2 linked regions of the Caenorhabditis elegans genome follow. The protein of the gene in region 1 interacts with the protein of each later gene in a pairwise test. Each region holds a gene or a part of one and is shown on either strand. Other genes may lie near its edges. The genes, in order: ilcr-2 and ilcr-1.

What was found.
Region 2: the proteins of ilcr-2 (region 1) and ilcr-1 interact in binary tests that used the Caenorhabditis elegans proteins (3 or more experiments, as listed by UniProt).

What each region holds. Positions count from the first base shown.
Region 1 is NC_003280.10:5,468,205-5,483,980, forward strand, and holds ilcr-2 (Interleukin cytokine receptor-related protein 2), read left to right. Parts: upstream 1-7,041; 5' UTR 7,042-7,047; coding exon of another isoform or gene 7,048-7,086; 5' UTR 7,087-7,204; coding exon 7,205-7,481; intron 7,482-7,529; coding exon 7,530-7,614; intron 7,615-7,672; coding exon 7,673-7,799; intron 7,800-8,097; coding exon 8,098-8,983; intron 8,984-9,035; coding exon 9,036-9,211; intron 9,212-9,259; coding exon 9,260-9,371; intron 9,372-9,423; coding exon 9,424-9,605; intron 9,606-9,651; coding exon 9,652-9,807; intron 9,808-9,851; coding exon 9,852-10,007; 3' UTR 10,008-10,322; downstream 10,323-15,776. Other genes in the region: clr-1 (Receptor-type tyrosine-protein phosphatase), read left to right, coding at 1-27, 105-209, 680-779, 1,185-1,357, 1,408-1,709, 1,756-1,955, 2,013-2,396, 2,631-3,377 and 6 more; mrps-16 (Small ribosomal subunit protein bS16m), read left to right, coding at 6,204-6,350, 6,412-6,538, 6,687-6,817, 7,048-7,086; Putative zinc finger protein F56D1.1, read left to right, coding at 10,416-10,612, 10,659-10,726, 10,775-10,905, 10,950-11,050, 11,097-11,255, 11,332-11,906, 11,960-12,093; cal-8 (EF-hand domain-containing protein), read right to left, coding at 12,406-12,434, 12,483-12,630, 12,679-12,773, 13,619-13,694, 13,743-13,832.
Region 2 is NC_003282.8:14,268,075-14,283,252, reverse strand, and holds the start of ilcr-1 (Interleukin cytokine receptor-related protein 1), read right to left. Parts: upstream 6,794-15,178; 5' UTR 6,665-6,793; coding exon 6,349-6,664; intron 5,942-6,348; exon of another isoform or gene 5,866-5,941; intron 5,487-5,865; exon of another isoform or gene 5,460-5,486; intron 5,184-5,459; exon of another isoform or gene 5,163-5,183; intron 5,120-5,162; coding exon 4,842-5,119; intron 4,483-4,841; exon of another isoform or gene 4,462-4,482; intron 4,295-4,461; exon of another isoform or gene 4,271-4,294; intron 4,100-4,270; exon of another isoform or gene 4,075-4,099; intron 4,025-4,074; coding exon 3,838-4,024; intron 3,783-3,837; coding exon 3,661-3,782; exon of another isoform or gene 3,649-3,660; intron 3,502-3,648; exon of another isoform or gene 3,481-3,501; intron 3,421-3,480; coding exon 3,168-3,420; intron 3,113-3,167; coding exon 3,022-3,112; intron 2,939-3,021; coding exon 2,763-2,938; intron 2,701-2,762; exon of another isoform or gene 2,680-2,700; intron 2,436-2,679; exon of another isoform or gene 2,412-2,435; intron 2,396-2,411; coding exon 2,289-2,395; intron 2,165-2,288; exon of another isoform or gene 2,144-2,164; intron 1,707-2,143; coding exon of another isoform or gene 1,098-1,706; and 7 more. UniProt on the Caenorhabditis elegans protein: Forms a receptor complex together with receptor ilcr-2, which upon activation acts as a modulator of neuronal activity.

The sequences.
Region 1 (15,776 bases):
CGGATACAATGCAGTTTGAGGTTAAAGGTGAGAATATTTTTAGAAAATTTTTATTTAAAAAAAAATAGAAAAAATCATATAAATATATCGCTAAAATTGTATAGAACACGCCCGTCGTACCCATTCATATTGGTACAAACGTCCGAAAAAAGTTATGCCTCCGTCGTCATCGTCATCACTGAAAACTTCAGATGATGATGATGATTCTAGTAAGTTTAGCATGAAAATAGTGTGAAATTGGAGTGATTCGTGATTATTTTTAAATATTTTATTCGAATTGCATGTTTTGGTGGCTGTGCAGGATTTATTACCAAGACGCGATTTTTTCGAAAATTACTGTGCTCGGTCTCGAAACGACAAATCTTTGTTAAGTGAGAAAAAGTGAGAAAAGGTGTGCATAATTTCGAAAACGGAAAAAAATAATACTGTAGTTTCAAACATTACTCTATGGTTTAATTCAAATTTTTATCTTTTTGCGCATCTTTTTGGGTTTATCAGAAATTTGTCGTGTCGAGACCAGGGACCGTATTTGTAGCGGAAGTATCGCAAATTTCGCGTCGAAAATTTAAATAACGGCATGAATATATTTCAATTTCCCAATCGCTTGAACTACGCCGCTTTCCCCATTCTTTTCCCAATTTTTTTAAATTTCAAAATTTAATATTCTTTTCTTTTTCAGCTCCTCGCCAAATCAAGAATCTAACTGTAAATCCATCTGAACGAGATGCCATCGTTACATGGGAATCCGAAGGTGGAGAAGACATGGCAATTGATTTGAGGTACTGTAATTTTCAGATTTTTCTTTCGAATATGCTTTTACTAAATTATAAATATGATCACTTTCCCCATTTATTAAATTTAATAATCAATTTAACTCCTTGTACCTTTTTCACTTTAATAACAGAAAATCACTACATCATCGAGGTCGAAGGTTTCTGAAAGTGGATTCAGATGATCCAAAATCAAATAAGTAAGAATCAATTCACGGGAATGGAGTGGAATCTTGTTGTTTTCTTTTTTGAGTTTTTTCCTTTGTTCACCTAAGTTTTTTGTGCTTTAACCATTAATTAAAATATGCTTTTCTTTAAACTCACAGATTTTCAGTTTTTTTTTCGCACTTATCCCAATACCTGTTTATCTGATCCACTTTTTAGTTTCAAATTTATAAATTCTTCAATTTTCAGACTTGTTCGACGTACGGATACCCGAGGACAAGTGGTTTTCAGTAAGGACAACTTAACGTCTCCAGTTTCTATAAAAGATCTTCGCGCCGCGACTCCGTACACACTTTTTGTGTCGGGGAATAATGGACAAGTACCATTTGAGTTCACTGAACACTTTACTACAAAACAGAAACGTTAGTGTTTTGAGATCCGGTTCCAAAATCAAAATTTCATTTTTATTCAGGTCCATTCCCACCGAAAGAGGAGGATGTGCGGGTGCTAAATTCTGGTTCAGCATTGAGTTGTGAAGTTGAATGGAAAAGTCCCGCGGAGCCAAATGGTCGAATTACAAAATATTTTGTATCTGTTCGTGGAGCAATGCGAAAATCCGACGGATCCCTAACTCCAGATGATCTTCCAGCAGCTGTAGAAGTTGATAAACGTTGTGCGAATTGGGATGGTGATGAGAATACATCAAAGCATAATGGAATCAATCCAATTGATTTTGCAAATGAATTTTATTCTTGCAAATTTGGTCCATTAAAAGTGAGATTGTTAGAGATGTTTCAGTATAATAACATAATATTTTCAGCCAAATCGAAATTATACCGTCACTGTTTGGGCTGAAAATTCAGCTGGGAGATCTCTACCAGCAGTTTTCCACAAGAACTGTGTTACGAATTACGCACAGCCAGATATGGTAGAAACACCACAACCTTTGCTGTCTAATAATCATTCGACATTCTCGTTGACTTTTCCCCAACCGCCAGATGATATTAATGGGCCAATAAGGTATCTTTCTTTTTTAAAAAAACATTAAAAAATACATTGAACTTGTCATAATTTCAGCTGCTACTATATTGCAATAGTTCCACTTCCTGCAAATGTTTCTCTGGATATCTTGCCAAAATCTGAGGAAATAGTTATGCACTCATTTTCAAAAGTCTTCACGAACAATCTACTCCCATCGTCGGCTGAAGAGAAACGATTTTTCGCTTACATTGCCGAGTCGTATGTTCAATTACCAGAAGAAACAACGATAGGAGATGGTGTTAGAGTGTCTGATTTAAAAGCCTGTAATGTACAGTACCTCAGTCGATATTCGTCTGAAGATCTCGCATTACGGCGTGGGCTCAAGTACACCGGATTTCTAATTGTACGTGTCGATAAGGAAGAAGAATTGAACAGAAAAGATGTTCGAAATGGAGCTGATCCGAATATATTTAGGAATTTGTAAGTATACATAAATGTTATCCAAACGCGGAAAAATTCCTAATTTTTGCGCCTAAAAAACTGTAACACGAAAATTTTTCGATAAAAATTTCGCGACGAAAGCTTGAAATTACAGTACTATTTGAAGGTGCACACCTTTTTTTTCGAATTTCACAAAAATTTTTCGTGTCGAGACCGGCTTCCCATGTTTTTGGCGTTTTATATTTTCTTGTTCATACAGTAATTTATTTTCAGAATTGACAAAAGCGTATCTCCAACATCACGAACCCGTACTGCATCTCCCATGAGCCGCCACCTGCGTCAACTTCATTTGAGTGGGCCAGCGTATGGATATTCTGCATACTTCAAGCCAATACTACTTGACACGGAAAGTTCAAGCAGTGGATTCGGAATTTTCATGAAAATTATTCTGCCGTTCCTTCTGTTCTTAGCATTTGCAACTGGAGTTACAATGTTCTTTGTAAACCGAAAAGGACATATGCTGTCAACTTGGTGTCCATTATTCACAAAAATGACGTCAAAAGATGTTGTGGAACGAACTCTTCTGAAACAGACATTTGGTGCAATTCCAGTTGATGATCTTCCAACTGAATACGTTGTTCGACATCGAGACACGGATTTTCTGTTTGCACAAGAATACGAATCTCTGCCACATTTTCAATTGGATACTGTAGCCAGTAATAGAAAAGAAAATGCAATCAAAAACCGATATAACGACATTCGTGCATTCGATGATACTCGAGTTAAGCTGAAGAAAATCAACGGAGACGATTACTCGGATTATATAAACGCTAATTTCATTAAAAGCTGGAAAGAAAAGAAGTTATTCATTGCTGCTCAGGCTCCAGTTGACGCCACTATCGGAGATTTCTGGAGAATGGTGTGGGAACAAGAGTCATATTTAATTGTGATGGTTGCCAATTTAACCGAGAAAAACCGGCAGCAATGTGCAAAGTATTGGCCTGATGAACAGATTACAAGGTAAAATTTGGAAGTAAGAATTCTGAAAAAAAATAATAAAATTACAGATATGGAGATATAATCGTGGAGCCTGCCAGTTTTTCGTTCCATTCTGATTATGCGATTCGTGCATTCGATATCGCACATATAGGAGAATGTGGGCCGTGAGTTTTCATCGGAATAATTATTATTGTATGCTAACTTCTTCATATTTCAGTGATGTGATCCCGAATGGAAACGGCGTCGAATACGCGAATGTGCCAATTGTAAAAGGACAATTTGCTAATAATTGTGAGTTACTGGCGGATTCGTTAATTAACGATCGTTTCATATTTTTAATTAATTTTTTATTCAGCCCGTCGTATTCTCCAGTATCACTTTACCAATTGGAATGACTACAAAGCTCCGGAATGTTCCACTGGATTGCTTCGATTCATGTATCGTCTTCGAGAATTACCACAGTTTAATAACTCGCCTGTTGTGATACATTGCAGGTATTTATATTTTTCCAAAATTCATCAATTAATAGTTAATTTAAGTGCTGGAGTTGGAAGAACTGGAACATTTATTTCAATAGATTCGATGCTTGATCAATGTCTCGCGGAGGATAAAGCAAACATTTTCGAATTCGTGTGCAATCTTCGTCGCCAACGGAACTTGATGGTTCAATCTCTTGAACAATATGTGTTCATCTACAAAGCACTTGCGGAATGGCACATGTATGGTGATACTGATGAAGATGTTCGAGATTTTGAAGATCACTATCAACGATTATGTGCATCGAATAGAGATAGAGCAGTTAGCTTTAATCAACAGTCATCTACGAATGGATCAATATCTCCGAGAGTAGCAATTGTCTCATCTCGAGAATCAATGACAACTTCCAATGGAGAAACTGGATTGGAAGAAGAATTCAAAAAGTTGGAGCGAAATTTGACTACTCCTTTATCTTCAAACTTTGCTGCAAAAGACGAGAACCTTCTTAAAAATCGATATGAAGCTGCAGTACCTTTTGATAAATATCGAGTTATTCTTCCTCCAACTATTGGACATGCTGACTCTTCATATATCAATGCATCACACATAAAAGGATACTTTTTTGATTATATAGCCGCTCAGGATCCTGTTTCAGAAGGAACAGCTTTTGATTTCTGGAGAATGATTGCTGATCAAAATGTGACTACGGTAGTTATGTTGAGTGATGAGACAGATTGGAGTGATGTTGAAAAGGTTTGTAAGCAAATAAGCAGTTTTAATTAATTTTATTTTCATTTTCAGTACTGGCCAATCGATGGTTCTGGAACAGAATGTCACTTTGGATCGGAACGTAATTCAGTGAATGTTACCTGTGTCTCTGAAGAGCACCATCAAGATTTTATCATTCGAAATTTATCATATTCTATGAAAGATAACGAATCGATGCCAGCGAACCAAGAAGTTGTACAGTATTCGTATACTGGATGGCCTTCGGATTCAATTGTTCCAAAATCTGCGAACAGTTTGATGAATCTGATTGAGATGGTCCTGCAACGTCAGAGCAGTCTCATGGGATCTCAGGCTCCGATTGTGGTACATTGCAGGTAGGACAATCAGCAAGTGCTCATCATAAATAAAATCTTAAATTTTCAGAAACGGATCGTCAGAGAGCGGAATCTTCATATGCATTTCCTTGTTATGGCTCCGACAAAAAGCTGAACAACGGATAGACGTCTTCCAAACAGTAAAAGGACTTCAATCACACCGACCGATGATGTTTACCCGTTTTGAGCAGTATTCTTTCTGTTACAGAGCCCTAGCTGACTATATCTCTAAGACATATAGGTAGCTGTTGTTATATTTTTCCATTTATCTCTCTAGTCACATAATATAGTTGTTGCCTTCCCCGTTTTAGCTGTTTTCTGGGCACAAAAAATTCAACAAGCATACAAAAAACGGGTCAATGTTGTGCTCTCTTCCATATTTCCCTCTCATTACAAAGTTTTACTCAGTTATGTTTTTTTTCGTTTGTTTCCTCATGAATTCTATTTATTACCCAATCTCTAATACTAGTCAATAGTCTATTCTACACTCCCCGCCTCAACCAACACCACCGACACACAGAAACGAGTATGCAACTTTCGGATCCTTCTCAATGACTTCAGATGATTTTTTTTTCAGATATTTGCTCGAAAGCCATATTGTTGCCTTTTTGAATTATTATGTGTAAATATATATGATATCTAAATGAATTTATTATGAATTTTGATGATGTTTTATATTTTCCTAAATAATATTAAGATCAGTTTAGATTTCAAGAAACTTGACATGCAGATTTTTACGAATTCTTGTTGGCGCAGTCGGAAAAATTTGAAATAAAATTTCCTTAATTTTGGAAATTAAATCAGTTTTGTTTATCATAACTATCTCTTTTAATGTACCAAAAAACAAAAAAATATTACATTTTTCTATAAATTTTAAGTGCAATATTTGTCAATTATTTTCAACTTTTCTTGTTTCGTACGCAAATCAAACGAGGAAATGAAGGATTGTACAAAAAATACACCAGAAGAAATCAAAATTAAATTTCGCGCGAAATTACTCTTGTGTCCGCAAACACCGACGGACAACATTGCGTACTTGACACTGCACTTCACGACATTTAAAAAAGTTTTTCTCTCCACAATTTCTAAACTTTTTATAAACATTGTGTAAATAGTTTTTTGAGTTTTGAAATAATTCTATTCGAAAAAAAATTTTATTCTTAATTTGCAGCCGTTCATAACGATCGTAGTACATTCTGCCTCTCGTACGAGCTCAATTCTGTTTTTTGCAGATTGCTCCTTCTATGAGCGAAATTTGGTGCTGGAAATGCGAAAATTAGTAATTCCAAAATATTACGGACGTCCTTCGATCGGTTTGGCTCTTTTTGGTTGCACAAACCGACCGTTCTATCACGTTTGTGTATTTCCTGATCGGGCTTTAGGTCGAAGATACGAGGGTAACATTCTTGAACAGGTGAGAATTGCTTGAATGAAAAAATTGCTTGAATGATTTATAATAAAATTAATTTTTACAGGTGGGAACTTTTGATCCACTTCCAAATCAGAAGAACGAGAAGCTAGTGGCTCTGAATTTTGGACGCCTCAAATATTGGATTGGTGAACGGAACGCTCATATTTCCGTTCCAGTGCTTGAACTTCTCGGTGAGCGGAGAAACTGTGATAATTATTTTTTGGAAAATACACTTGGAAAAAAATTGCGGGAAAAATTCTTGAATTAATTTTTGATCTACTGAAAATATCAACTGTTTTCGTAGTTTTGATGATCAAATTAATTTTTTATTCATTTCAGGCCTGTCGGGACTCTTCCCAATTCACCCGAAATCGTTCATTCGAGCCAAGGACAACAGGGCGTTGATTGCCGATCAACAACTGAAGGTAGCTGCAGAAGCCGCGGAAGCTGAGAAAGTCGCACAAGAGCAGGTAATTAAAACTAATTTTTCTTCGATAATCTCTGATTTTTACCGCAGCAACATTAAAAAAAATAGAGATTTTCTAAAAGTTTTCCCGTGTACAAACATATCGTTTTCACCTTGTCGCCTCGCCTCAAGAGGTGAAAAGTCAACAAATTAGGTTCAAATTCTTCACATGTTTACAATCAGATATTCTTTTACCGCAAATAACGAGCTAAATCTTTTTACATCAATTTTCAGGCGTCAACTGGTGCCGCTGCGACATCTCACCCACAGTAATCTCACTTTTCTCTTTCTAGAATCTCTTAGAATTTATATTTTCTTCTATCTTTTTTGTTGTTAAGTTGCTTGTTTTCATTTTCTTTCTTCAAAACCGCACTTTAATTAATGACATAAAATGGTCCGCCTTTGCACTACCAATTTTCTTGCTTATCGCGCAACGGGCAGTCCCTTATTACTCCTATACTTCTATCTCTGTTCACTATCTTCTGTCAAATCGTCCGCAGCAGCATCATACACCAATGCTTCTGATTACGTCCTTCGGAATGTTTTTGAGCATTCCGATCAATGCTACAAAGATTCATTCGTCTATGTGAGAGCTGATGATAAGAAATCCGATCCTTTTATCACGTACTCCACGACTAAGGAATGCTCAGAACGGCTCAAGAAAAATGGTACATTTTTTCCCGAACCAGAAAGATAATTAATTTTCCGATTTTCAGATCTTCCTGAAAAGCTGCCAACATGTCCTCCTGGTCTTATTGATCTGGAACTCAAACCAGTCTACGTACCAAAGTCCCAGATAAGGTTGGAAATCAGTCAGAAACTGTGGAAATTTTTTAATTTAATTAGTTAATTTTTTCAGTTATCCATATGCCAACCTGAATATTTCCGTCACTGCTCATTCTTCCGTCGATACCATTGCATTCCGTCTTGAATGCTTGTCAGCTTCAGATGGTTCAGATGTATATTGTTCCAATTCGAAAGCCATGGTAACTAGATTTAACAACTAAAAGACGCGAAATTTTGAACGTTAATACGCCGGGGATACGGTACCAGGTCTCGACACGATAAATGTTTGTTGATTACGAAAAGGTGTGCGCCTTTAAAGAGTACTGTAGTTTTAAAAAACGTTTCTCTATAAAAAAGAAAAATCTTTAAACTTACATCACTCTTTAATGACGCAAACCTTTTCGCATTCAACGAAAATTTGTCGTGTCAAGACCCTGTAACGTATTATTTACGCTAAACTTCGCGTCTGGGTAATACAGTAAAAATTCAAATTTTCAGTACATCAACGGAGTCAAAGAATGGCCGTGTCGCGGAATTCATCTTTCGTCGAGAGTTCAATATCCCACCAGATTCTCGTATTCCTGTTTCCGACTCACTTCATTTTCTGTCTACGCAATCAATGCAACTATTCTACCGCAAAAATGTAGAGTCTCAACGATTATGACTGCTCCATACTTCGATGACATGTTCCCAGAGATTCTTGTGGATCCAACTACCAATCAGTCAATTATAACGAAAACGGATCCGTTCTGGGCACCGATGCTGTCTGCTGATTTCAGTGATAAGAATGCGATTTGGGTTAGATTGGGAAAAGCGGAGAGGGCAGAATGCGAAACTATGGTTGTTAATGTCTACAAGGAACACGATGATGATTCTCAAAAAGTGACATTTCTGGAAATTTTGACTGTGAAGTGCCCAGAAACCGCCGTTAAATGGGAAAATCAGAAAGCAGGGAGATACCTTCTGACGGCATACGTTCCTATTCGTGGATGCAAATTTTATTGCGAGAAGAAAGAACGAGGATGTCGGCAATGTCTTCGTACTCATCTGAACCTGGTTATCTACAAAAATAGAGCTTCACTGTCTTGGCTCGCATTGCAAAAGTTCAAAGATTATGGTTTCGAGATTTTCATCGCTGTCGTTGTACTTTTGATACTGATCATCGTTCTGGCTGTAACTGGATTTGGTTATGTACTATGGAGAGACAAAGTTCGATCTCGAGAAGTTCGAAATATAGCATTGACTGAATTTGTGAAGGTTATGATAGTTTATGCGGATGACAATGATTTGCATACCGACTGTGTGAAGAAACTTGTCGAAAATCTCAGAAACTGTGCATCCTGTGATCCAGTTTTTGATTTGGAGAAGCTTATAACCGCAGAACGTAAGTTTTTAAAAAATATATAGTATTTTTCAACTTTTCATACTAATTTCAGAAATCGTTCCATCCCGCTGGCTAGTGGATCAAATCAGCTCTCTAAAGAAATTTATAATTGTGGTTTCTGATTGCGCTGAAAAGATTCTCGACACGGAAGCTTCTGAGACTCATCAGCTTGTTCAAGCTCGACCATTTGCTGATTTGTTCGGGCCAGCTATGGAAATGATCATTCGTGTAGGCAATTGACTCGGATTTTCTTAAAATCAAGAAAAAACATTTTAGGACGCAACACACAATTTTCCGGAAGCTCGTAAGAAATACGCCGTTGTCAGATTCAACTATTCTCCACATGTTCCACCAAACTTAGCGATTCTTAACCTTCCCACCTTCATTTGTTAGTTTATTTTAAAATTTAAAATGTAATCTTTCTAATTCTGAAATTACAGTACCTGAACAATTCGCGCAACTCACTGCATTCCTGCACAATGTAGAGCACACAGAAAGAGCCAACGTCACTCAAAACATATCAGAAGCTCAGATTCATGAGTGGAACCTTTGTGCTAGTCGTATGATGTCATTCTTCGTTCGAAATCCGAATTGGCTCGAAACGAGATGGAAACCGAAAGACGTGAGGGTTTTAATTTTATGATTAATTTATAAAACTTCATTTTCAGGAGCTCGCAGCGCTTCACCTCAAACGTCAGTCTCCCGTCATTGTTCCAATCCAAACTGAAGAGGATCGCATTGCTGCTTCTATAAAGTATAACCTGGTGCCCCCGCAAGCACTCGTGGACAGTGATGACGAAGATGATGTTGATCTCCAGCCACACGTATGTTCATTCAAAATGTTCTCAGCTAGAAATATAATTTTTAGGCTTCTCATCAGAACCAGCCACTCATTCTCCTACCACCTGAACAGTGCGGCCCTGACTCTGATTCTGACTCGGAATCTGACTCCAGTTCGGAATCCGAATCTGAATCCGACAATGAGGGTGAAGATCCGAAGACGATTGTTGTGAAGAAGTCATGAAGAGACTTGTTATTTTTATTTGCTTATTGCTTGTTACGGTGTGATACGTGGTTAATTATGGTATATTATTTCGATTTTTCTGTGCGATGCTTTTTCATGTTTATTTAGTCAGCGTGTCCCTCAATGAGATGTCTTATTGTTCTGAAGCTACGTTTTCCAGAACTCCAACATAGCGGAGGCACGCTGGCTTCTCATAGTTCAGAATTTATAATTTCCATGTCATTTTTCACTCATTATTTGATTTTTATATATTTGATAATTTGTTCTAGGATTTAAAAATTACGCTATCTATAAATGTTTAACATTTCCTTAATTGTTTTCTTTATTTTTCTCTAATTAAAACAGGTCTTATAACCTAGTCTATCTATGAAAAATTATTTTTACTGTTATCCAAAATCCAAAATTCAGATGATATCTTCGTTTGAACCACCATCTTCATCGTCATCGTCTTCTGATGAAGACTCTGATGATGAATACCGAGAAGAAGATGGCAACAGTGAGAGAAGCAATTCGAAAGTATGCATTGAAGAAGTTGAAGAAGTTGAAAAAGAAGAAATTGCGAGCAGAAAACGAAAAAGAGGAAAAACGAAAGACGAGTTCCATCCGTATGTGGAATATTTTTATATAAATGAAATGCGAACATTTTTACAGATGTCCGTTCTGTGAGAAAAAGTTTCGATATCCCAACAAGCTGAGAGAACATATAAAAATTCATGATTGTATGTTTCAGCATTCTTATTTAGTAATTTAGATAATTATTTTTTCAGCTAATCGTTACCAATGCCTTGAATGCTCGACAATTACCAAATTTGGCACATATGGTGAATTGAGAGCACATCACAAACTACATCATTCGAAGGCTTCTCATAAGTGTCCACAGTGCTCGTACACTAATGAGGTGTGAATTATCGAGTTGTTCATCTTCTGATATTGGAATTTCAGAAACCAGCATTCATTCGCCGTCACTTCGAACAAAACCATGTTGATGGTATTCCGTGTACAATTACTGGCTGTTGTATCAAAGTAGCAAAAAATCGGCTCAAGTGGGTTTCATCGATTAATAAAAAATACATTTTAATACAATTTCAGAGCTCACATCAAAGAATATCACACGTCTATTCCATTGTCTACCGAACAAACTCGATCTAAACTATCTTTCAACAAGTGCCCTCTATGTGAATACAAACCTGATGTTTCAGATGATGATCCTGAACAACAACAGAAAGATCTTGAGGATCATGTTCAAAGGTAGGTTGTAAAAATTCGATTATAAATTATTTTTTTTAAATGAAAACGGTTTTTTGAATAATTTTACCTATTTCAGAATTCATGAAGAACGTGAGCCAGCTCTATGCACTTTAGGATGTGGTGTTTATTTGGGATCCGGTAGTGTAAGCGAGCATCTATCGACATGTTCATCCTTGATTCAAAATATACCATCTTCTTCACAATCGACACCAGCACTTCAAAATGATGAATGGAATGATGCTAACACTGAAACCACACTATCAACAATCACAGGAACTTCTAGTCAATTTGAACGTGATTCTGTGTCTGAAGTTACTAATGATTTATCGGAAAATATAAACGATATCGATGAGGAAATTGAATTCGGGACAACTGAACCTCCGAATAAAATAAGAAAGCACAGTAGAAGTCGAGTACATGGAGACTTCAGCTGCGAAATATGCCTTAAAACATTTACATTAAGAGACAATCTTCGAAAGCATGTCAGAGTATATCATTCGGAAAATTCGCAGAAAGTAGTTAAATCCACGGGACCAAAACACCAAGAACAGTACAAATGCGATCGAAAGTCAAAAGATGGTGATGAGACTACTTGTGGAAAAACTTTTCGAACAGAACAGGCACTTCACGATCACTTTAATGTTCATGATGGTAAATACTTACAATCTAAAAGTTTAATATCTGAAAAAATAATTAATGTTTAGGTATCAAACCATATTCCTGTCATACATGCAATCAAAAGTTTCACGCACGAGATCGATTCGCCGTTCATCTATCAAAATATCATCAAACAAGTATCAAGGATCTTACGGCACGCGTGGCTACATTTGGATGTTGAATTTGGCCATTAATATAATAGAATAGAAAATAGAATATACAATTGTTTCAATCAAGTTTTACAACCATACATCACACCGGTAAAAAATTAACCAACGGTAGAGTTTAGTCTATTGAGTTTCATGATGATCTTTCAATTGTTCGAAGTATACTACTTGTTTTTGTTATTGTATTAAATAAAATGTTGTTGTTTTAATTTTTAATCAATAATTATAAATATGTACACAAAAATTAAACGATAGAAAAATGAGATGTAGATCAGCTGTGCGAAGGAATGGAAAAGCATTGATGAGATAGTTTTTGATTCTTTTGATTATTGGCCCTTAATGATATTGACGAACTCTGTAATATCAACAAAATATAGATAATATAGATTAAATCAATTCCAACCTTGAAAATCGATCATTCCGTCATGATCTAGATCTCCTTGTTTTATCATTTCTTTCGCTTCAGTTTCAGTTAACTTCTCTCCCAATTGGCACATAACAAAAATTAAATCATCGATGGAAATCACGCCGTCTCCATTTTTATCGAACACCTGAAACAAAACAGGTTTATTAGTTAGATGCAAAATCAATGTGCTCACATTAAAAACATCTCTCAATTCTCGTTCTTCTTTCGGATCACAGATTTGTCGTCGGAGTACATTCAAAAACTCATCTATATCAATACATCCATTTCCTGAAAGTATTCAACTTTTTCTTCCCAATACTCAAAACACACCATGAGTTTAAATTATCCATAGACACGTTAGGTTTCGTCCGTCAAAAAGTTCTAAAGCGTAAAAAAGTTGCATTCCGCTTCAATTCATCATCATCTCCACCTACATATTCTGCTTCCTGTTATCGTGCACTCAGTACTTTTCATTTTTTTTTCTGGTAAAAATACGGGAAAGTTGGAAATTTCCGGAAATCACACGCGTTAGTTCTATTTTTGAACACAAAATGTACCAGCTGTTTGAAATTTTTGAAGTTATAGTGGTGTGGAAGCTTATTCATGCGGAAATCTTGTTAGTACACTAGAAATAGAGAGAATACTGTATTTCGCTACAGTAGCCAAAGACTCTTTTTTGCATTAAAGCCCTTGATGTGAGCTCATATATTTTTTGAGAAATTATTAAAAATTCTTCAATAGAAATTGCGAAGTAAAGTATGTCGCGAGTACGGTAACTGAAAAAGCTAGGCTCACAACTTTAAGATATTTTGCAATTTCACATTTTTCCCCAACATGTGTTTCATTTTCAACTCTTGTTAATTGTGAAATTATAAAGAAAAATCGTCAAATATCAAGAGGGAATTACAACACAAGAGATCACGAGTACGGTAGCAGAAGCTTCGCTGGTGCCAGGACCTGATTTTGAAATCCAGTTTTTTGTTGCGAAAATGCTATATTTGATTTACAAAAAATCTCAATTGTTTCAAATTAGATTTTAAGAAAATACCACTTTTTGTTGGCAAGAACTAGAATGTATTCAAGAATATGGTCAGTATATACGGAAAATAGGATGAATAGAAGTTTGATCGTACCATCTAAATCAGCTTGCTCAATCATTGTCTCAATCTTCGAATTGCTCGCTTTTTCTCCCAATTGAAGAAGAGCAACCTGTAAAACTTATATTTGTCCGAAAATTCACAAATTATAACAACAAACCTCCAACTCTTGTCTTGTAATTCTTCCATCTCCATTTTTATCAAACTCTCGAAATACTTCACGAATTTCAGCTTCTTTCAGTGAGTCCATTTTAGCTGAAATAATGTTCAGTAGAAAACGAGGGGAACAAGTGAAAAATAAATGATAAAAAAAGGAGATGCACGAATGAATGACGGAATGAATTAATGAATAAATAAATGTATATGAGTGACAACTGAATGAAGACGACGACGATGAAAATGACATGAAATTTATGCGGAAATTGGAATTGGAGACCTGTGAGCCCCGCAAAGTTTCACTGAGCACCTGAACTTTGAGCACTTTTGAATTGAAATGATGATGAGACTCAAAAAAATGATGGAAGAATGCAAACAAAGAGGGAAAAGTCATGAGAAGGAAAGTGTTCTTGTTGAGTTTTGCGGGGGTTTATTGGGACACCAAAACACCATCTTTTTGGACTCCAAAGCCACGCCCAGTTTTCAAAATCTTTTAGACACGCCCCAATGATTTTTGTCATAAGACTTAGGAATCAAAAGTTGTGAAAGTTTGTGATTGTGAGAAAATGGATAAATAACTCGAAATTTCAAAGATTAAAATGTCTGATAGGGGAAATCTCAATAACAAAAAAAGGTTTTATAATAATAAAATGTTGAAGAAGGAGGACTTGGATTGTACACATATTTATACTTATAACTACAGTATACCATTTATTTCCGATATTCCAGAAACGCCCATTTTTTGCCATTTGCCCGGTAAACGCCCTCTATATTTGAAAAATGAAGATACTATGAAAAATGGCACAAAAATATATACATAGAAGGTCACTGACAATGTGATGAGGCGGGAAAGAGGCGTCCCTTGCACGCCGTATGGGGTTTCCAAAAACTTATATGATATTCCTACAATTTTATTAGTTCAATGTAATTATAGGAATTAGAAAACCCTTTTTTGAACTCTTACAATTGCAAAAATTACCAGTGGAAATTGCCGTATTTCCCTATCAGACTTGCTTCACTTTATCGGTTTATATCTCGGTTTTCTCAAGTTTTATCAGGAAAATTGTAACTGAAAATTTGTAGAAAAATATTTTGCACATACTTTGTAAGTTGACAATATTTTATAAAATCGAAGAGAACGGAGAGCTATCAAGTTAAAGCGATAGAGGTGCAAGTCTAAGAGACAGTACGGTATGTAAGAAAAATTTCAAATGCCAAAATATTTTTGAAAAATGGTTTACAAACGCCAAAATATTGAATATGTTCTGCAATTTATTTTTTGCCTACAAATCTCTATTCTCTTAGTCTTATCCACTTCATCTTAGTCGTTGCTCTTCGAAATTAGCTCGATTTCAGTGGAGCTCATGAGAATCTTATTGCTCCATGTTGCATATATCTTGCAAAAAAAACCAATTCGTATTGAGAAAAAGGCACATACAAAATAAGAAAATGCAAATATTGGTGAGAACAAAATGAGAAAATAAAAAGAAAAAATCTCGTGATTCTTTAATAATAAACATTGAAGGAATCTTTATGGAAACGATGAGAATGAAAATAAAAGCGGGAGAAAAGATAGAAAATGAAATAGTGTTCTGTTCCAATGAATGGGTAAATATGATCCGCATCTGGGTAAATATAGACTTGTAAATAAAAGAAAGATTCGGTTCAGCTTTACCCAGGACATAGATTTTAAATGAAAAAAACATAATAATTGTTCCAATTTTTTTTTACATCGGAAGTTTTGGTAAGTTGCCATTTTTCAAAAATTTTGAACTTACTTTGTGAGTTTCAAGTATGGCTGCAGGCCAGAGTTGCTACGAAATTTGTCAAATGTTCATTGTGAGCTGACTCTAGCACCTTTCTAGCACAGCGCAAATATCCGATCTTGTTCACTGTCTGCTAGTGTTGTATTTTTTAAAGGCACAGAAGAGCGTTCGAAAGTTTCCAATTAGTTAGAATATAATTTTATAATACAGGCGTCTGCTTCAGCTTTTCAATAAATTTTCCAAAAGAATCCACGTCATTTCATAGATACAAG
Region 2 (15,178 bases), on another chromosome or scaffold:
GTCGTTCCCCCCGAACTCACTGTAACGCCAATTCACACTGCATATCGAAAATCACGTCGTTCCTTCCGGTTGTAATTCTTTCGATTGCAGGTTCTCTTTGATGACGGAAGACAGTTCGGAAGTAGGCACCAATTGAATTGATTATAATCACTTTATTCGCCCGGACTATACTTGAATTGATGTATTCCGCACGATTTTCCTCGATATCATCCTCATCCCAGACGTCTAACTGAAATAATGTTATTTTGGTTGAAGAAAAGAACAGTGAAAAAATTTAACTCAATTTGAGGATATGCAAATTATGAAACAGTAATTTTTGGGTGACACAATTTTTTGTAAAGTCCTGAAACATATGATTGTTACAATTCTATTGAGTAGGAATTTCGATGTGAATTGAGAATTGATTTTTTTCTGCTTAATAAGAAAATTTAACGGACTGCTAATGTGTTTAATGTTTGTTTAAAAAAAAAAAGAATTACCGAAGTTTGATTTGATTTGATTTGATTTATTTTCAACATTAAGAGCCCACAGTTAAAATGCGATGCGCGCATAGTGGATGAAGAGCCATAATGCGCCCATCGCATGCGGCGACCACCCATTTCGAGCCCATCGCTTGCGGAAGGTGATGGGCGCACAGTGGGCCCAAGATGTGTTCATTTGCGTTCCAAAAATTCAAAATTCGAAGTGTTTTTTCGCCTATTTTTTCGCATTTAATTTCATTTTTTATTGAATTTTTGATTTTTTTTACTGATTGTCTCATGAAAATTTGTTCTATATGCCTTATATTATCTTAATATTGATTTTTTTTTTGAAATTACCATGTCTATAGAAAAAACTTACTCTAATCAGTTTTAGCATTGAAATATTCAACGAAAACGCATGTTAAGCAATATTTTGTTACTGGTACACAAAAAAATCGTCAGGATTACTGTAGTTTTATCATTTAGCCTGATATTTGATCATTCTCAGAACAAATCGTTCAATATCTTGGTAGTTCCAATGTTTTTAGCTCGTGATTTGTCATTTAGATTTTTTAATCAACATTTCTTTGACCGCTCTCACCGTTATATTTTGGTAATTTTGTTCAACAAAATTCGTTATCCATTGTACAGAAGTGCCGAAAATCGTCTTAAACTTCTGGAGAAGAAATTGCTCCACGAAAAATAGCCAAAGCAGTGCGAGAAAATGGAACGCCCAATACACTGAAAGCGGTTGATTCTACGAAAAATCATAATTCTTCAGTTGCTTTTTTGGGAAAAAGTTGGTGTATAAACATAATCATAAATCCATTATCGAATTTTCAGTGGTGACAAGCCGAAAGAAACACCGAAGTTCAGTGGGTTCGCGGATCTCGCACAGAAAGCCATGGAGAATCAGAATCAGGCATAACGAGAAGTTGGCGAGGATGATGAACGAAAATTAGAACCTCAAAAGATGGAGACTGACGAAGATCAAGAGCTGGATGCAGTGCTCAGCAGCAAGTTAGTTTCGAAGCATAGTTTTAATGGACCATGTTCATTTTTCAGTATAAGTGTTCTAATTCCAAGGAAAAGAATACACGAAGCTTGGAGTTGGAATACTACACGTTAAAAACACTGATAGAAAATTCAGCGATGAAGGCAATAGCTGTAGACGCAAAGGGGGAACGGATCCGGCTGACTTGTCCAACTTCGAGAACCGAAATGGCTACGATGATGATTCGATAATTTTGTTATTGTTATTACGAGTTCCATTTTTTGTTACTAACGTTTTCTTTTTGTTGTTTTGAAAAAATGTTAACTCACTTTGCTCTGTTAATGAATGTATTTTGGTTCAACTAATTCGCTTGAATGCTCAGAATTTGCAGGGTTTAGTAGTTTTATTATCAGAAAGGAGAATCCACAATGTGCCCATTATTTATGTTCGTGATGCTCGCAAAATGTAATTCAAATTCGCGATGGACGCACAATGCGCATCATTTCCGGTTCCTTTTTCTCCCACTCGCGATCCACGCCAAAAACACTTTGCGCGCATAGCATTTTAACTGTGCCAAAAGGTAATACATTAAAAGGTAGTACACTTTAAGGTTTAATGAGAAAATAAATTTATAAAACGAGACAAACCCAGCAAGAGTTCATCTCGAGTGTGGGAAATGGGTAAGGCAAGAATTAGTAAGTTGATGGAAGCTTCGTTTTCAGAGTTATGTACTTTTATGAACTGTTCAAAACAGGAGATACAATTTTTTTGAAAATCTCATCATTGTAGATTTTTAAACTTTTAAATTAAAATATACTCAAAAATAAACTCACGTGAACATTCAAGTTGAAAACATCTCTCAAAAGCTCTGCAAACGCCAAAACTGCAGCTTCATGTTGAGCAGAGTCATGACTATATACGATCAGAACTGATATGGATTCTGAAATTTTTGCCACCTTACAGAAAAGTTCAATCGACTACTTTTGAGTGAATTTTTAGTCCTGTATTAACACAGTGTTGAAACATTACTAATGCAAAAAAAAAGAATTTAAGAGAATTCGTTTTTGAGCAGAGTGACGTCATGCTTATTTTCTCCTAGCGTCTCACAATAAAACTTTCCCCGCTTTTTCTTGAGATCAGAAAAAATTAAGTCAAAATTAGCTAGATCAAAACAGTGGATCAAAACAGATCCTAACAAATAAAATTTGAAGTTTTAAGACTTATTAGGATAGACAATCAAGCAGAATGATGATTTACAAAGCGATTTTGTTTTATAAACATTATGAAACAGTGATAATATGACTTACGCTTCAAAATCAAAGGAATTGATCCGGAATGTGAAAATGCGGGATTCTCATTGAGTAAGTGAATATTCGATGCTTTTTTCTTGTTGTTAAACTTTTTGTAGCATTTTAAGCCAGCACAAACTGAGAGAATGAACAGAATTGCAATGATGGCGCCGCCGGTGATTGCGTAGGTGTGCCTGAAATTTGTCAGGTTTTCTTGGTTGGATTTTTCGACTGCATATAAAAAAGCAGCCGACATTTCCCTGTATCTCCTACTCACCAAGTCCATGTAGTATCTTCCTTCTTATCCTTCTCTGCTTTTCCATCACTTTCCTCTGTTTGATTAGAAGTAGCTGGAGGCTTTTCAATTCCTGAAAATAATAATTTTGCTTCTCATTTCATTTTCTGTTTTAAAAAGTGACTCACTTGTTAATTTGACTGGTTTCCAATCAGCTGCCAAACAGCTGCAACCATTCTCAGTGACACATAGGCATCTTCCGTCGTGAGCACTTTCAATTGGTATCACTGATGGAATTAAATCCGTGTCGAGCTCAATGTCGGTGAAGTTGAATTCTCCAAATTGGACCGGTCGACCATTGATTATTTCAGTTCTGAGCTCGTCTTTTGTGATTATGGCTGACTGGAGCATCACAATTCCAGAGCTATCGAGAAGGCGCACCTGAAGAAAATTTACTGTTTCGCAGAAACTGTATAGCTAGGGAAGCTGCTACGGCTGCATTCGTTTTGTCCAATTGTCTTTTTCAAAAAAGAAAGTACCGAGAGAATTTGAAAAATCAAAAATTGTGTTCACAATGACAGGACGTTTGAAATTTTCTAGACAAGCTTGAAAATGAATTTTCTGCTGTTTCACATTGTTTTTAAATTTGTGCTGTATAATGTTCCACAATTAGTGCATTACCTCATATTCCTCAAAACAATATTGCGGTGGCGCCGCCAAAAACTCGATTTGAATCAGCCTAATCGCACTGAAAAGGAAGATTTTCCGGAAGCTGGCTGCCCATTTTGAAGCTTGTGGATTCGCTGAAGCATAAATATCCATATTCTCACATAATTCAATCAAGAATATATCTCTTACATTTCCCCTCACACATTTGTTCGTTGGTCTTGACAATTTTCACCGGCGCCGCATCCGGATCATCAGGCATTAAGCTCGTGGCTGACACCTTCGGAGCACGTTTCCGAGACATTGGGAGACTCACAATGGTTACTGTGTAGTTGTGACCAAAGTCGAACAACGTGTTTGAAGAGAAACGGTAACGAGGCTAAAAAATGTTTCTATGAGTTGTTAAGATTTATGGAAATTTTGAAGGTGTTAGTGGAATTTTCTTGAGAAAGATCGATTTTGTAATTGAATTGTGAATTTGAACCTGAGAATTTTGAAATTATCCCAATTCCTAAATCAGTTATTCCTGGAAGCTTTTTTTGCGGCTAGATAAAAAAATTTCCGAGACTCAAAATTTTCACTGTTTCAGAAACTGAAGATATTGTAGAGTCATTATATATGAGATTGCTATGATTTTCTTGTCTTTTGTGAAACTTATAAATAGAAACTTATAATAAACATAGATTCTATTTCGAGGACTAAACTGTTGAAAAACAAGGCCTGCGGTTTTATAAGAAGCAACCTAGTTTGAAAATTATGGCACTGGCAGAACATGTTATGTCTGAACTTTAACAAAAAGTTGAAAGATCTCAAAAAAGAAGGATAATATTTTATGAATTGCATTCTTTTGTGAACCGTTTTCTTGAAAAAGCTGTGAAACAGTGAACAAGAAAATGAAGTAGCTTAACGCTTATTTGTGAAAATTCACTAAAATTTCACATAATAAATTCGTGAAGAAGGAAGCTTGGTCGTATGGCTTTTTTGAAAGTTCCAGTAAAAATTATATTTAATTTTTTTGGCAGTAGATATGAGGCATACCTACGCCTATATGTAATCCCTATTCTCATTTGGAATATTTGTATACGTTTTCTGCTTCAAGAGTTCCTAGAGGTCATTTCAATTCAATATTCCTACTCTATATTAAACTTTAATATTCAATTAGTCTTCCTTCTCCCCCAACAACACGATCAACTCACCGAAATACCCTCATCATCAACATGCGTTTGCGTGACATTAAACACGAAACAAGTATTCTTTCCATCAGGACCATTGACAATCAATTTGAATGCCTTCAAATGTGTCGATGCTTCTAATTGAGGTATCTGCCATGACACGTCGACATGCAACCGATGTTTCCTCTTGTCAATTCGGTTTGCGCCCATCACTTTTGTCGTCGGCGCGATTCTGACGTCATGGGCTCGAGGCGGCTCCTGACCGGCGTCTACGTATTTGAACACGTTGTCCGAGCAACCGACTGAAAGATTTTTGAGATTATAGTGAGTTTACGGTGCTGTTTTTTAGTTGAAATTATGAGGAGAATATTGATTCAAAAACCTTGATTCAATATATCATAATTGTGAAACAGATTTTGTTTTTTTGAAATTGGGTTGAAGATTTCAGAAAATAAGAAAACATCTCGAAATAGTTGAAAATAAAATATAAGTTTTAAAAACAGTATTATTCTGAAAAAGACCTCGAAATCCCAAATTTCATAATGAGACACTTTGAAAACTTGACAAATATATTTAGTTTTGAAAAACTATTGTATACTGTTTCAGGTGTTTTTCTAATACAATTCAGTAATTCAGTTTCAGTTTTATTGCCAAAATTCCTGTATCTGGTATCAATATACACTGTCATACTGTTTATTTGCACTTGACGTCTGATGGAAAACCACTGTAAAAGTTTGGCAGGAGAAGTACCTCAGCTAACATCACACATTTCCTGATTTTTTCTGTCTATTTCACCAAAAATAATTTTTTTTGCCGAAAATTATATCAATGGTCAGTGGCAAACGGAAATTACTTTTTTGCAAAACGACGGAAACTAATACGACTGAACTTTTGAATTTCAAAAAAAAGGAGAATGATTTCGAGTTTCCGTTGGCGCCCGACAATTGGCGAGTTTAGCTGAAGAGTGGTCAAAATAATAGGAAAGAAGTAGTAAGGTGTCGAGCAGTAAAATAGGTAAGTTTTGAGAAAATTCTTGGAATTTTAAAAGTACTGTTTCATGTAGGTGTTAAAGTTTGTACAAGAAGTTAGTTTTCTGTTAAGCCTTACATATTGACTGAGCAGTAAAATACATGAAAATTTAAATATTAAAAATAAACGAGATTATTTCAATTTCGCCAAGTCACCCTGTTTCAATTTCATTCAGTATTAGAACCGTGAGACCAATCAGCAATTTGCTCCGCCCTCTTTTCAACCAATCAGAAGCAAAGCTCGAAAAAGCTAATTGGTTGGAAAGTGGGTGTGGCAAGTTGTGTTGGAGGATGTTCAAACATAAATATTTATCAAAAAAACTGCGCTTTTAGTATAATTTCCATGATAGGCATGCGCGGTTTCCGGAATTGACGTTTCCGCACCTATGAAGGCCTACTTTTCACAAGTTGGATTTTGAAATCTTTATAGAATTTTCTGTGATATTTGAGAATTTCAGAATATTTTGCTTACAATTAGATCAAAGAATTCAACTAAAACTCACTAATATTAACAGAGCATGAAATGTCCTTGTTCAGTGGCTCGGAGCAATCCGTAACCCATGGCGAATCATCGACTGTCCCATTTCCACCTTTTTTCACTTTCACCACATTCTTTTTTCCCTGTTTGGTGACCGGTTTAGGCGCCCGCGTCGGCGTTTCTTCGGAAGCTAAGAGCAACAAATCTGATGATGTGACGTCATTAGCAGTGGGAGAAGATGAAGAAGAAGTCGAATTGTACGGCTCGGTGCGTACCGCTTGTGGACCAGCCAAGCAGAACAGAAAGAGCCAGATGAGAAGAGCAGGCGAATGAAGAAACATGTTATGAAGTGGAGGACATCGTCGTTTTTTGGTGATGCAGCTGCAGTTGTGTGATGGAGCAGAGAGGAGGAGGTTGGGAGGAGGAGAAGATTTCAGTAGTCCTTTAATTGTGATTGGTGGTTTCTGAAAGTAAGAAAAATGCATTAAAATTATGGGGTTGGGATGGAGAAAATTGGAGAAAAAGAAAGAGAGAGAGAAATGTTTGTACAGGTTGAGCACAGAAAATATGCTCAAAATTTTGGAGAAACAAGGAGTATGATAGTATAACTTTCAGATAAAATTAAGACATAATCATATGAAAATATTGATTCAATTCAAAATTTGTATTCATTTTTGTTTAAAAGTTTTGAAAAAACCTTTCAAAAAGTGCCTGAAAAAAAGACAACTTTTCAGGCAGTTTACTAGATTATTTTCAAATAAAAAAATAAAAAAAAACATTTTCTCATTCTGAAGCTAGTATTTCAATATTTTAAATCCCTAATCCATACTCCTAACTAGACTCAAAATGTCCACAAATCATCCTCCTTCCCTAAACAGGAAACGTCCTACACAAACATACACACACCGCAAAAACTTCAATTAATAAGTAGACCAGGAAGATTGCACATTTTGCACTCAATGGCACCGCAAGGAACCAGAGTGCTCATTAGTTTCCAGTTTCCACTAGACTCCAATGCACAATCACCAATGGGGAATTATCCCGGAGATCTTGGAAAACGAGGAAGTGTGGTGGACTACTGTCAAATTATGGAAGATTTTAGTTATAGAACGAAATTGAAAGAGTATTGAAATAAAAACATTTTGGAAATGAATCTAAATCGAAGGTTCTACTACAGAGCAGCCGACACCAAGCGGGTTCAGCGGTGTGCTTTGCTTGGCAGTTTAGACAATTGCCAGCACATGTAAATTGTCGGTCGCAAGATGATCATGTCAGATCGACTCTCTGACATAGAAGCTAAAAGGGCACTGATTCTCAACTATCACAAATAATAGCAGACATGCATTTCAATCACTAAGTTATGTTACCGAATTGAAACAGTATCGAAATGAAAAACTCTGAAGAACGAATTGAAGAAGAACTGCCCAGACTTTTTCAGGGAATTTCTACATTCGAACTGTATCAAGTAAATCCGAAGCACCCGACACCACTTGGGTTCCGTTTCGCTAATGAGCGCGGTTTTCATGAATCCGCGTGTTGTCGGGCGCAAACTGATTGTGTCACATCATTCATCAGTCAGAAATCTGATTTGGCCGTATTTTCAGACATTTCAATAACTTAGTTTTAAAACCTAAGTGAAATAGTATTGCAATACAAAAAACCAATTGATGAGAAATAGAACAGAAAACTTACAAACACTAGAAGATTAGAAATACCCGACACCTCGCGGGTTCCGCTGACCCTTTGTGTCCAGTTTTGGTAATTTGACAAAACCCGCGTGGTGTCGGAAGCAACTATTTTGTCAAACACCACACATTGAGCTAAATTCGGTGAAAGCCCTACTTTGGCGGCTTGATAACCAAATGACGTTGCAGATTTCACAGAAAATATCTGACGTATTTTACTTCCGCCTTGGTTTTTTTCATAGAACTGACTCAGATTAGTAACATTTCTTGCAAAAAGATAAAGGTAGATCAGAATGTCGATTCAAAGTCCAGGAGGAAAATTTTGAATTAAAATCTCATGTGCATACATTTCGCAAATGGGAAAAAAGATTAACGAGTTCATTCAAAGATCAGGCGAATGGAAGTATCTTCTCCACGTATGCATACACACATGAGCAAGAGAAAACGAGAGCTACAACTAGTTTCTAGGCTTTATAAGATCAGGAATGCATAATCAGAGAGTGCTGAAGTTGTAGTTTATGATTATTTGAGAAGTTTTGAAATTGTTAGTTGAAGTGTGCGAAACAGGAAAACAATATTAAATTTGGTATTTATACTTTTCATGTTTTTCTGAAAAAGTGATCCATATTGCTGAAGTTAATGCAAAACGGCTATCAGTTAGGAAAAGTAGAAAATCCCAGAATTTAATAAAATAATTACTTTCAAATGTCTTTTGCTTTTTGGAATGTTGAATTAATTTTAATGAACGCTAAGCGGACATTGATTGAAGTTTCAAAGCTATTCGAATACTTATAGAGTTCGTAAAAAATATTTTTAAATAGGAATTTTGGAAAAAAATTGAATTCGAAATAGAGATGTGTATTATGCAAAAAAAAATGACAGTACTGTAAAAAAGAGTGAACAGGCATTAATAATTATGTTGAAACAGGAAATTTTAGAATACTAAATAATTTAATAGTTTTAATCTTCAAAACATTGCGAAACAGCATCGCATTTTTTTCAAACATTTGAAACGATCCTAAAAGGGCTAATTGTCATTTGAAAGCTTCGTCGTCTATCAGGATAGATTCAAAATCACATTTCAATTTTATTTGAAACAGTAAAATTATAAATTTTTTGAACAACTCACAGCACATTTGTAAACACAACCAACTGTAATTTGAAAACTGCCTAGTACTTATAAAGTTTGAAAAACATTTTTTATCGAAATTTTTTATTTATTTTCCGCTTCGAAGTATGATACCCAGATTTCCAAAAACAAGAAAGCGAACTGTAATAAAAAATGGGAAAGAAACGTTTGCAATGTTGAAACAGGAATTACCAGAATTTGAAAATTATTTGAAACAGCATTGTATTTTTATTAATGACAATGTTAATATTCAGAAAATCCGGCTCTTCTTCCTGATTGGCATAAACATTTTTTTGTTGTTGAAAACCTGTGTTTGGAACTGTTTTTTTTAGTTCTGACACATTTCAACGTTTCAACTGTTTCACAATGTCTACAAGTACTGTGCTTGAAACATACATATTATTTCAACGGCTGTACAAAAAGAAAATACAAAAAAATCCAATTGAAATCTCCTAATACGGCAAAGAATAAGGGAGCGAAAGACTTTGAGAGTCTGGACTTTCAAAAATGTTGGGCCAACAAAAAAATCTTCCACTATCAGGCCAGATTCAAAATCACAAAATCACACACAAAATCACATTTCAATTATATTTGAAATAGTAGAATTACAAATTTTTTTGAACAGCCCTCATTCAATGTGAAAGTTCCCCACACTGTATTTTGAAAGGCACCTAGCTAGTACTTGTAAATTTGTAAAACATTTTTTTTTAATCGCAGCTGTTTTCAAATTTTCCACTTCGAAATAAGACAAAAAGATTTCCAAAAACAAGAAAACCAACTGTAATAAAACAAATGAATGTTGAAACAGGAAATCTCGGAATATGTAACTTATTTGAAACATCATCGTATTTTTCTAAATGGCAGAATGTTGATATTCAAAAAATCCGGCTCTTAATCCAAATTGATTTTTTTTTAAATTCTGCTGAAATACTGTGTTTGGAACAGTTTTTTTTAGTTCTGACATATTTCATGTTTTCAACTGTTTTACAATGTCTACAAGTACTGTGCTTGAAGTAAACATAATATTTCAACGGCTGCCCCATAAGAAAATACAAATTCAAAATCGAACTGAAACCTCCTAAAACGGCAAAGCAAAAAAGGAGAGAAGGACTTTGGAAGTCTGGACTTTCAAAAATGTTGTCGAACAATATAACTTTTTGAACTTTGAAAAAGAGTGAGAGAGCCCACCACCACCATCTATGTTTTCACATTGGCACGTGTATGTGGCTCTTTGGCTCCTTATTCAGCTTCTTCTCTCTCCTTTTTTTCTTAAACCAAAGAAGGGAGAGAAAAGGAATTCGAGAGGAGGCGGGAGGAGGAGAGCCCCCAAGAAAATGCTGTGAGCAAAAAAGGAGCAAAAAAGAAGGAGCAGAAGAAGGAGAAAAAGGAGAAGAAGAAGAAGAAGTTTTGATGTGTGTCCACTCTCTCCCTCTTTGAGAGCACATGAAATCAAGGGGAAAACTACTAGAAAACGAGCAGCACTCAAGTGAAAACGAGAGAGTGAAAGAGAGAAAGACGTGCTCGACAAATGGAAGGCCAATGCACAAAATAATGCGAAAAAGTATCGAGGATGTAGTACATCATATACCCCTGCATATTAACACATTGAGTGAGGGAGATAGAGAGACACTCGCAATGGGAAAACGAAGCGATTTGCAGAGCATTTTGGGTTGCAACTGTTTTTCTTCATTTCATTTTAAATTTTTAGCTATAATGAACAACGGAATACGTTGATGTGGTGACTGTGAAAATAAAACATATCTGAAACAGTGTAATTTTTTGATGCAACTTAAGAATCTGAATGCTTTCTTAATTTTATCAATGTTTTAAGAAAACGTTATGAAACGGTTAAGAATTTTTTCTGAGCTTTATTTCATTTCTTTATTCATTTATTTTGAACATCAAATCTGGATCAATAATTTCATCGGCGGACTACAAAAATAATATTTATCTGAAACAGTATAAAATTGTTTCAAATAAAATGTAAAATTGAAAGATACTGAGAACTTAACGAATGTGCAACAGACATACATTAATTAATGGGGAGCTGGACAAAAACAAATTTAATTAACAACATTCTAACAAGCATTGTAAGAAAACGTTATGAAACGGTTAAGTGCTATTTTTCACTTAAAGACTGGTGAGACTGGGCAGAATTCATTAATTGCCAATTTCAGTTCAATTTTGAAATATTCATAATTCCGATCTCCCACACAACCAAAAATCGAAAAAGTACAGAACTTTGAACGAAATTCCGAATGAAAGCAAATGAATGAAAAAGAGATCCAACTCTGAGTTATCCAAAATTTTTAAAACAGTAATATGTTTTTACATTGGAAGTTGAAACAGTTCAACATAATTAAACATCATAAAAACCACTTTAACATAGTGTAGATTTTCCAAAATTTCCGGTAAAAGTTTTTGCGAATTTAATTTTTCAAATTTAGACTTTCTAAATTATGACATATAAAATCTGAGTGCCACCTTTTGACTGTCACTGAAAAAAAAATCCAAAGAATGTTTTGAAAAGTTGTACAGTGCGGTTATTTTAGAAACAGAGATGTAAGTTTATTTTAATTCCCTACTGGAAATACATCATCTTTGAATTTTTTTTGCAGACCGAATTTTACATTGTTTCATTTTGTACGAAGAAGGTGAAAGCAGTGAAAAAAGTCAAAAACTATGTATTTTGAAAAGTTTTTGAAACATAAATATTTTTTGAGTGAATTATGCTAATTTTCATTGAGTATTTTAGGAAAAAAATTTGAAACGGTTTTTACCTTTTTATAACTAAAACGTTGAAACGTGAAAGTGAACACATAAAAAATTTTAAATTATAAGAAATTTCTGAAACAGAACATTTTCCAAAAGTAAAATCATGCTAAACTACCATACAGAAACTTGTTTTAAATACAATTTTCATCAGTATCATACCATATCAAAAACTTAACTGGAAAACCGTGAAAAAAGAGAAAAATCATAGTTCTTCAGCGTTTCAAAAGAAGTTTTCACCAGCAAAAAAAAAATCAAAAGATCAAAATTTTAAAAGTATAATTCTAAACATTTCAATTTTAAGCACATCTACAAATTTCTAAGCCTGACTTTTTTTCAAACTTTCAAACTCCAAAAATCTGCGCAATTTGCAACTTTGAACTCAGCTACATCAAAAAAAAGGAACACTTGTCAGAAAGTGTCAACCAGTTTGGAAACATGTTCAGAGTAGAAAATTTATGCATGAATATTCACACTAGAAAAACGGCTGCCAACACGTCAAAAATCGGCGAACGGAATGGGAAAATAATCATAAAAAAGGGGAGAAAAAGCATGATATTTGATTTGTAGTGTGTTTGTGTTTTGATGGTTGGGAACGGGGAGTTCTATTGAAATTGAGAAATGGGAAAAGTATTGGGGAAAAATGGAAAAGAAGATAAAAATACAAAACATAAAATCTTCAATTATTTATTGAAGTTTAGAAACAGATGTTTATTTAAATGTAAAGTAAGTTTTTTTTAACCAATTGTAGGCACTATCGAAAATGTTGGAAAGTGGAAATTTTTAAAAACTTCTCTTATCTCGAAAAATCAAGTTTATATATCCTGAAAAGTTTTGAGTTTTTATGGATCTACGTATTCAAATTATGCCTGAGAAACATTTCAAAACAGAGAACACTGTCTGTCTCTATACATTGACTTTATTTAGTCTTTCAAAAAACAATTCAAAGTAAAAAATTCAAAATGAATAAGATATGTTCTACCTTTAGCTTTTAAATACAATTATTAAAAAATAACATTAAAGAGCTAAAATTGAAATTAAAAGTGGAGTCAATATTCGATAAAAATTTGAAACAGTAAAAAAAATTTCTGAGCAAATGTTCAAATTGACTAGGAAATTTGTGTTTTTTTTGACAGATTAGATAATTTTTTCGAGCTAAAATTGTTTTCTCAATTGAAAATATATCAAGCACCGGGAATTTTCGATAAAAATCAATCGCGTGTATCAATAAATAGCAATAGAAAGTATTGTTTTACAGACTTTATGAAACTGAACAAGAATCCTTTTTTTTGGATGGTTGAGTGAAATTCCACAAAAACTTGAATTTTGAGGACTTTAATTTCGAGTGAATTTGCAATAAAACAAATAATTTTTAGACAAGTAAATTGAGATTAAGCGTGATAAAAAACATATGTCAAAGTTCTTTTGAAAAGGAGAAAATGAAAAGTACTGGGGAGTGTGTGGAAGATGTGGAAGAAAATATATAATACAAAAGATAAGAGAAATTGAGAAACAATTTTTTTTTAATAAATAAATAATAATTATTATTGTTGGAGCAATTTTATTTTAGTAAGTTTGTTTTCCTAAAACTGTGAACTGAGCCAATCATTCTCAAAAAGTATTCAACGATAAATATCTGCTACGGAACGATTGGAAAGAAATAAGGTAAAACTTTTAAAAACTCAATGAAACATATCTTTTAAAAGTTTCCAGACAAATTTCAAATTTCCAGTTTCTGATAAGCATATTGAGAGTTTTTGTACGAGAAAGAGAAACTTTCAAAACTGGAGTGATTATCTCTAACAATTAGATCATTTCAAAAAAGTTGAAAAACAGTCAAAAATTGAAATAAAGCGATTGTCAAACAATTAAAAAAATTTTAAATGTTTGAATCATCGTGAAATATGATAAAACTCGAAGATCTAAAGTTGATTTTACACAGTTTTGTAAAAATTTGGAAAAACTTCAAGCTGAAATAATTCTGCTCCATAAATCAAAATGCGATCTGCAAAGTTTAAATGACAGAAATTGATTAATGGAATAAATTAAAAAAATTGAGATTTTAAATTTCTATGAAATTTCAAACTACGTTGAAACAGAAAATGTTTCATATTTTTTTGAACTTTTGAAAGTCACTTTCATTTTTGATTGTTCAAAACTCGATATTGAATCAAACTTGCTAGAAGTGTGATGACATCAAAAAAATGGATCCTTAAACGTACCGGAAACATGATGACTACTTTCCAAGAACCCACCACCATCAGACACAAACACGCAATGTTTATTAGCTTGAATTATAGAGAAAGTTTAGATGACCTATATATGTGTATTGGTCAAAAGGAAAAAGATGCAAAAAACGAAAGAAAACTCTACGACATTGTAATCTATGATTCCTTATAGATTTCGTGCATTTTATTGGATCAAAAAACATTTGGAACGTGTCGAGAAGGGATGGACAGATGTAAAATGTATTAAAGTTTATTGAGATCTATTAGTTTCTTGAGAAAGTGCTACAATTTTCTGAATGAGATAATTGAAAAAAAACGATGAGCGTGTTCCAGCGAGGTGTTAATAGAATATGTTCAGAAAAATATATTGATGCTTTTACGTTTTTTTGATATCGTCCAAAATAAAATATTTGAATTTTCAATCAGTTTTTTACAAATATCAAATCATAGAGTACGCCAATTTTAAAACCAAATAACACATTTGAAACAATAAAAAAATTATTTCGAAATGTTTTTTTTAACAAGTATACTTTGAAAAACAAAGACATGAGACATAAATTTTTTTTTCAAAATTTGTTATGTGTCAGAATATTGTTAAATTGTATTTTCAGAAAGTTCAATAATATGTCGTTTTGAATCACATACAATTGAATTTTGTATCAGTGTCAACAAAAAAATATTGTTTCACATTTTCAATAAGTTCAAAGTGAAAAACGTGAAACAATTCTAATTGCACATTACTTACGAAGAAGATACCTATTGGAATTGTGTTGAAATAAGAATTATAAAACCCGAAGTATTTCAGTTTCAAAGTTTTTTCTTTTCAAAAAAACTGCTTTTTGAGAAATTAGTTTTGAACAACACAATAAAAATGTAGTGATCACAATAAAATTTTGTATGAGAAAATAATTATTTAGTCTCACCGATGGATTTTTTATTTTTCATTTTAATACATTTTAATTTTTTTTCCAAATTTATTAGAAAATGAAACAGTATTTTCTTGTTAGACTTATTTTTGAAATTGGTAAAATTAACATTTGA